Arabidopsis thaliana: one gene and its partner. The protein of the gene in region 2 interacts with the protein of the main gene of each other region in a biochemical or structural test. Each region holds a gene or a part of one and is shown on either strand. Other genes may lie near its edges.

Evidence for each region.
Region 1: the proteins of UBC10 (region 2) and AT1G49230 form a complex in vitro, tested with the Arabidopsis thaliana proteins (one study listed by BioGRID).

Annotation. Positions count from the first base shown.
Region 1 is NC_003070.9:18,207,167-18,210,691, forward strand, and holds AT1G49230 (RING/U-box superfamily protein), read left to right. Parts: upstream 1-2,027; 5' UTR 2,028-2,153; coding exon 2,154-2,813; 3' UTR 2,814-3,011; downstream 3,012-3,525. Other genes in the region: AT1G49225 (uncharacterized protein), read right to left, coding at 624-694, 1,452-1,486, 1,979-1,981.
Region 2 is NC_003076.8:21,631,471-21,635,909, reverse strand, and holds UBC10 (ubiquitin-conjugating enzyme 10), read left to right. Parts: upstream 1-1,662; 5' UTR 1,663-1,811; intron 1,812-1,883; exon of another isoform or gene 1,884-1,910; 5' UTR 1,911-1,920; coding exon 1,921-1,990; intron 1,991-2,347; coding exon 2,348-2,475; intron 2,476-2,591; coding exon 2,592-2,696; coding exon of another isoform or gene 2,697-2,723; exon of another isoform or gene 2,724-2,964; coding exon 2,965-3,108; 3' UTR 3,109-3,343; exon of another isoform or gene 3,344-3,462; intron 3,463-3,863; 3' UTR 3,864-3,889; downstream 3,890-4,439. Other genes in the region: AT5G53310 (myosin heavy chain-like protein), read right to left, coding at 500-818, 1,031-1,253. UniProt on the Arabidopsis thaliana protein: Accepts the ubiquitin from the E1 complex and catalyzes its covalent attachment to other proteins. Mediates the selective degradation of short-lived and abnormal proteins.

The DNA.
Region 1 (3,525 bases), on a different chromosome or scaffold from region 2:
AATTAATCTATATGCCTCAAAACCGATCCACACGCATAAGTCATCAAAATAGCAATTACCATGAACAAGACAAAAAAGATAAAAAGATATTAGTAAGAACTATGAACAAATAGATATTTACTTGACAGAAAGAAATTATTAAGTAGGGAGAATGATCAAATAAATATTTACTTTACAGATATTTAGTAGGAAGAATGACCAAAAAGATATTTTATAGATATTTAGCAGGAACTAAGAACAAATATATATTTAATCAAAAGTTCACCAAAAGATGAACACTGAGAAATGGCGCCAAAGAGTAAATGATTAAAGAATAGGTTCCACCAAAGAAAGTCAATAATGGTACATAAATGATTAAAAGACAGGACTAAAGCTCTGTGTTTCAGTATTTCAACTTTCTAGCCAAAGAGAACTATAATTAAAATGTTTCTGAAACTTTTCTTATGGCTCTTAACACCCACTGGATCCAAAACCATTTCCAAATCATAAATGCATCCAGCAAAAATGTTCTCAGAAATATTTCAAATTCTCACCAAGTTGCGTTATTTCACCTTAAGTCGTGTCGTGTGATTTCACCTCGATATGTTGGTAACATTTCACTTCCATCATTCAAAAAAAAAAACGGTGAATGACCAATTTTAGTTTGGATGATCTTTCTGTCTGTTCAGATTTCTCATCTTCATCCATGTTACCCCTGCAGTTTTAAAGTGAATGAGTATCAAATTAAGATATTCCCAACAAACGAATCATTATAGCATATAACACAACAAAAGTAAAGTTTATTTGCTTTAAAGAAGGTACCAAGAAAACAGACCACTATATATATTTGTACCAGTTATATGTAACCTAATGGCACAGACAAAAGAAAAAAGGAATCCATTTCCGAGTGAGACTGGTGAGAAAAGATAGAAAAGATGCATCTCCTACTGTGTAACATCAACTTTTTATCCCAAAGATACACAATCTTCCCTAATCTAATGTTTCACTAAACCAGCTATTAGGAAAGTAGCAAGAAACAATGTTATACAAAAGCACATATCAAAGAATCTTGCTTTGATTTTGGAGCTACAAGAAAAACATTAGATACTAGATTCATGTAGATTTCCCTCGCAATTTGCAACCAATGGAAGAAGATATCTCATAAAGCAAACAAAAAGAATCATTTTTTATTCGTTCATCCGTGGGACCAATTCCTTTACCTCTGATTTAAAACAAAGGCATGTAAAGATAAAGAGAGAGAGAGAAACTGTTTACTGAAAAAAAAGCAGGAGGTGGATACTAATGCTATGAGAGTGATAAAAGTAGCCTTTAACAAGATTGATTGGGAGAGGCTTTGTCCTTTTGGCTACTCTATGGACAACTTGAGTTACTACGAATGGGGTGGATTCCTGTTCCCCAAACATAAGTAGAGTTCACTAAATGGAAATATTTCATCCGTACACTCTCAAAACCGCACAAAATCAACAAAACTTTTAAGATTCCACCACTGTTAAAAAATAGCAAAAAGGGAAAGAAAAGAAAAGTTAAATCAAACCTTGCTTTATATATGAGAAACTCCTTTACAGGTTAGACACATATGTGATATATCACTGGGTCAGAACTATCTACCGAAACTCGGTTTTCATCAAGACCATAAGTAGAAAACATATATTATAAGCCCTAACAGGCTAATATCAAGGAACAGTGAGATATCAGTAAAATGAGCCAGGAGATATTAATATTTGAATGCTGCTATATCAAAGATAGGGAAAGTTCATGGCTGCTCCAGTTAAAAAGCTCATGGGTCCCTAGAAGCAATTCTGGGAGATATGATTTGCTAAGGCCACAGCCACATGGCACTACTATTGCAGCAACTGGTATGATGGACCCATTTTATATAACAAAGCATATTACGCTGCAAATGATTTTATAAAATTAGACACTAAAGGTAAAGGTCCATAATGTGAGCTTGATCTTTATAGCTTCTTATTCATCCAACCATAAGTTTTTCTAAATGAAATATATAAAAAAAAATTCCTCATTAAATATCTGAAAAAAAATTGAAACTTTACCTTTCCTCTATATAAACAATTAGCCTCCAAACCTTTACTCTATATAAACAACCTCCAACGGAAACACAGAAAGCCACCAATCTATCTTAAAACTAAGTTATCATGTGCACTACCATTTCCATTTCCATTTCCACCATAAAACCAACTGAGATCTTTCAAGAAATTCTTGGAAGTTCTTACTCAAGAAAATTACTATTTCATACCCATGATCAATCACCAACTCCAGCACCATCCCCATATGTAGGCGATAACAACTTTGATGCAAATGTTGTTATGGTCCTATCAGTCCTCTTATGTGCACTTGTTTGCTCACTTGGACTCAATTCTATAATAAGATGTGCCTTGAGGTGCTCCAATTTAGTACCATCTGAAGCTGGTGGTGACAACTATCCTGTTCGCTTGACCAACACAGGAGTCAAACGAAAAGCCTTGAAGAGTTTCCAGACAGTAAGTTACTCTACTGAACTAAATCTGCCTGGCTTAGATACCGAGTGTGCTATCTGTCTCTCGGAATTTGTAGCCGAGGAACGTGTGAAGCTGTTGCCGACATGCCACCATGGATTCCATGTCCGTTGTATAGACAAGTGGCTTAGTTCACACTCGTCCTGTCCCACCTGCAGGCACTGCCTCATCCAGACATGCGAGAAGATTGCCGACTGCAGCCAAACAAGCTCGTTAAACTCTACTCAACCACCACAAGACAGCATCATTCTCCAAATAGCACCACTAGAACCGGAAAGATGGATACGCTGGTTTAGGTGAACTAGAACTAGTCACCTAGATATTTGTAGCAGCTATGATTAAACTACTATGTTTTAGAATTATTTGAGATTACAAGCGGTCTACACTTAAAAACAAGTTTAGCATTTCAACTGTAAAGTTGTAAATATTACGAGAATGTTACTTTCTTCATATCTTGAACTACTAAATGTTTATATTTCACAGTTACAAGCCAATAAAGGAAAATTTCATTAGATCTGCAAATACTCACACTGGAAAACAAAACATAAACAATTCAAAAATCAAATGTACAGGATGATGAGAAGGAAAATCACTGAAAGGCTTAAAGCAATAGTTTAGTGGAGGTGGCCAATACACTTAGTCAACTAAAGAGAGATGTCATAATCTTTACCATTATGAAGTTTCAAGGTTATTAAAGTCAGGCTCTGCCACTAGCTTATTTTACTGATTATCATAAGGGTTACTACACTTTTATATAAATCATACAATAACATAATGTACCCTTCCAGAGGTAGAAGAGTCTTCTTGCTTTGTTATTGAACAAATTAAGTTGTAGGCTGTGACAATGCGAAGCCCCGGAGAAAAATGTCAAGGCCCACAAATGAGAGAAACATGCAATAATATAATCCATCGAAAGGAGAACAAGAGAGAGAGGTCACCACCATAAGAAACAGCACAAAGCGAATGGGGTCCGAGGACGAATCCCACCATATGGTCAAATCAAATAATACTA
Region 2 (4,439 bases):
ATGAACACAAGGAGAAACCATTATCAGTATAAAACACAAACTGCACATATAAACCAATAGCTGAGTTTTACGATATGGGAGATATACAAAATGTTTCTACGGACTATTATCGTGATTGCCATTTGAGAACAGTTTCAATCAAAACTAGAATATGTCATCTAACAGTATTTAAAATATAGTTGTAACCATTTGTATCTCAACGTACTAATTTCAGTAGTTATCTCCTAAAAGTGTTAATTCTTTATCTTCTTCCATAAATATAGATATGATTAATAGGTACAAGTGGATCCTCTGGTCTCACCACTAACTAATAGCCAAGTCACTTAAGAAACAGAGCTCACTAAGTTTCAGAGACTAAAAAGACCCACATCAGTTCTCAGTAACACAATACCTGTAGTGTCAATATCAGGAAATGAGATGAAAATAAACAATTCTCATGTGCATGGTATTAGCATTCAAAGAGGAGACATCAAAAACCAAAAATTGCGGTCATAGTTACCTGTTAGAGAGAAGCACTTCAAGTTCATAGTCAGAAGCACTTTTAGTGACATCTACCATGACCTGAACAAGCTCAGTCTTCCTAGTGCTGGCCATGAAGAGATCATATTCCGTGGGAATAATGATAGCGAAGAAGTTATCACTCAATTTGCTTAAACACATCTTCTCTACTGATGACAAAGCAATTCTCCTGGTCATAGCTTCAGTCTCGGGATCAATTAGATAGATCGCAAAATCAGTGAGGATAAAAATACGCCGTTTCATCTTCCCCGAGCCGGTGAACTTCAAAACTTTATCAGCAAAAAGAATCGATGTATCACCTATAACAACAATGAATCACCTTCTCAACATCAAACACATGCAATTCAAGGTGAATCCAATCATTAGCAATCCAAACAACCACATAAGAAACTATAAATCGATGCCACAATTCTACAGCTGATTCAACTATTCCTCCAAGTTCTTCGATTCACAAATTGCCTCTCAATCTCAAATTCATCAAATAAAAACCAAAAGTTTGGAGAAACCTAACCTTGTTTCTCCAGAATTCGCATCAATCCAGGACGAGAAGAAACGTGAAGATAGTCACCACGATGCTCTCTATAGCGAGACGCTTTCCTTCTGACTTTACCTCCAGCGAATGGCGTGTGATCTCCTCCGTCTACCTCACCCACACTTCGATCTTCATCAAAATCAGGTGGAGGTGATTCTTCGCCGTCGAACTTCGGCCCCTTTTGCTCCTTCAACCGGTTCATTCCTCCCGGCGACGAACTCGAAATCGGAATCGGTTAGCTTATTCTCAGATTCTGCGTTAGAAAAATCTCCAAAGTGAGAGAGAAGACGTGGCTTCAAATGATTCGATCGATTAAAAGATACAAATCTCAGCCGTTAGATTATATGACTTCATCGCAACGCGTTTCGATGCCACTTGATTTGAAATTTATAATAAACTCGCAGCCGTTAGATTTCAATACCACTTGATTTAAGGATAGGATATCAACCGTTAGATTAGATGACTTTTTAAGACGATGTCGTTTCAATGCAACTTGATGTTTTAATTAAGAAGCGCCGCGTCGTTTCAAGGTCCACCGAATAATAAGAGGGTTAAAAGTAGAGTCCACTAGTCAAAGAAAGTAAATAATCCACACGGTATTTATTGTAGACGTGAGCACAGAGAATAATTCGTATTCTTCGTCTTTCGTCCACCACCATCTCTATTTTCTTCCTTTCCCCTAAGTCTTGGTTCTTCTTCTCTCTAATACGAGAAGAAAAAGGCGAAAACCTCGCCAATCCGATTACGCGAAAAATCAAAGGTATTGTCTCTGTAGCTTTTGGATCTATTACTTATATTTCTCACGGATTTATAGCTTCTCTGATTCGTTTAGAATCTTTGTTTGATTTTTGATTTTTAGGTTTTTGGATATGGCGTCGAAGCGGATCTTGAAGGAATTGAAGGATCTCCAGAAGGATCCACCTACATCATGTAGCGCAGGTACTTGTTTCGTGTTTGGATTTTGAGATTTCATCTTAAAAAGTTTTGTTTCCCTGAGCTGGTGTTGATAGATCCGGTTTTTTTGTTCGCTTATGCTTGGATTTGTTTGGATTTGTGTGTTTATGTGTTGTTTGGTACCGATCTCGAGCTAAGTACTCGTTTTACTTTTTAAGATCTGGCTAGAACTAAATTTGGTTTATCTCGTTTCTGATTTCTCTGGTGAAGATCTTATAAAGGCTTAAAACTCGTTTCATTGTCTTAGTTTCTGGGGTCTGGTTATACTTGTGAAGAAAAAACTGTCTCTTTGTTTCCTTGTGCTTATGTGGTGTGAGATTGAGTTTATCTTTCTGTGTACAGGTCCTGTTGCTGAAGACATGTTTCACTGGCAGGCAACGATAATGGGTCCTTCAGAGAGTCCTTATGCTGGAGGTGTTTTCCTTGTAACCATCCATTTCCCTCCGGATTACCCATTCAAGCCTCCTAAGGTGATTCCAATATTTTGAGAATTGTTATCAAGTATGTTTTGCCAAAGCTCGTATGTTCTTTATGGTTGCTTCATTATCTCATTGTTCTTCATTATGGTGTGTGTGATGATATCTAGGTGGCCTTTAGGACCAAGGTGTTCCATCCCAACATTAACAGCAACGGTAGCATTTGCCTCGACATCTTGAAGGAGCAGTGGAGTCCTGCGCTCACCATTTCCAAGGTTCGGTTTCTCTTATTCTTTTGTTAACAATAGAAACCCACCTTAAAACAAATACTCTCTATTAAAACTGCTTCAGAGGCAGTAATCTACTCTTATCAAACATGCTTTTGCTCCTTAATCCCTAGTTGAAGTGATAAGATTGAGCTGTCTTCATTAAACTTTGACTCATTTCGGTTGTCTCTGAAACATTAAGCTTATTAGACTCATTGAGGATGAAAAATTGTTGTTTGTTATCGATCAGTTCTAACAACTGCTTTGCAATTAACAGGTGCTGCTATCGATCTGTTCTTTGTTAACCGATCCAAACCCGGATGATCCTTTGGTGCCCGAGATAGCTCACATGTACAAGACTGACAAGAACAAGTACGAGTCCACTGCACGAAGCTGGACTCAGAAGTATGCCATGGGCTAAATGGAAAATCCCACCTACTAAATTATCTCTTTATGAAGAAAAAAATCTGCCTTAATTTCTATGTATGATTCGATAGACATCTCTTTGTGTCCTTTTAACTTTCTGAAGACAGGACCAAATGAAGTGGGTCTTGTTTTAAACGAAACAAAAAAAAACATCATCTTTGTGAAAACTAGAATCTGATCATCTTCTGTTGTTTCTTCTTGTGGTGAAATTATGATTTGATGTTTTCGTTGTGTGATGAGTTGCTACGAGTTGTTCAAATTTATCAAACTAGTCTTCAAACTTATCCAACTGGTCTTCAAACTTATCCAACTGGTCTTCAAATTTACTCTGAGTTAATCGTTGTGGCCAATGCCCGTCATGGTGACAATGCGTTCTGTTGTAGCACGTATGTTGTAGAAAATGAGTTTTGTACCTTGCAAGGTGCGCCTGTGGATTGTGGACTACATACGTGATGCAACAAACATTTTAAGTATGCAATAATATCACAAACAATCCTATATCCATTAAACGACATGTATTATGCATGTTTGAACTCAAGTAGTAACTCAGCAATGATTCACTAGTACAAAACCACTAAACACCCTATTTTGTTTATAAGTTATAACAGTTTTCTTATTCGTATCATCCATCATATCATGAGTTTGACGAAAACATGTTATTTGGTGAAGTCAAATTATTTGACAATACAGTATTTAATAAAATAATAAATAGCCTGATTATGTGGAATGTGAGTGGTATAGAATCAACAGAAAAAAAAAAAAGAGTGGTATAGAATCTAATACTACAGATAATCTATAGATGAATGGGTATGGACTGAACTCAAGTTATGTAGATGGGCTTCGATGGACCAAAGATCCATCGCTCGTCCGAGCTTAAAGTATCACCCCTAACAAATTATCTTTACAAGTCCACAGGTAAGAGAAAAATACATTTAATAGTGTTGTGCTATTAGAATATTTTTGAATTTCTCTTCTCTATAAGAAAATACAGTATGTTACTATCTTTTTTTCAAAATTTATCATTATCCCACGGATCAGTGTATTAGAAGAGTATCAGTTTGAACTTAGAAATGATAACCAACAGGCAAAACTTACTCTAGTTAAGAGCAAAAGACCAAATTAAACATCTGCTTTAAGTTTAACAAAATAAGAAATCATAGGGACTATAGGTTTGATTTAGATATCCATGAAACTTGTAGGCTAAGAACTCTAGACATTCAAACGCAAAATTCAAACAATTGGTGTCGACTGAAAGAAATAAAATAAAAATCAGTGTTCCATGTTTTTTGGTTTAGTTAAGATAGGTGTTCCATATTCCAAAATGTT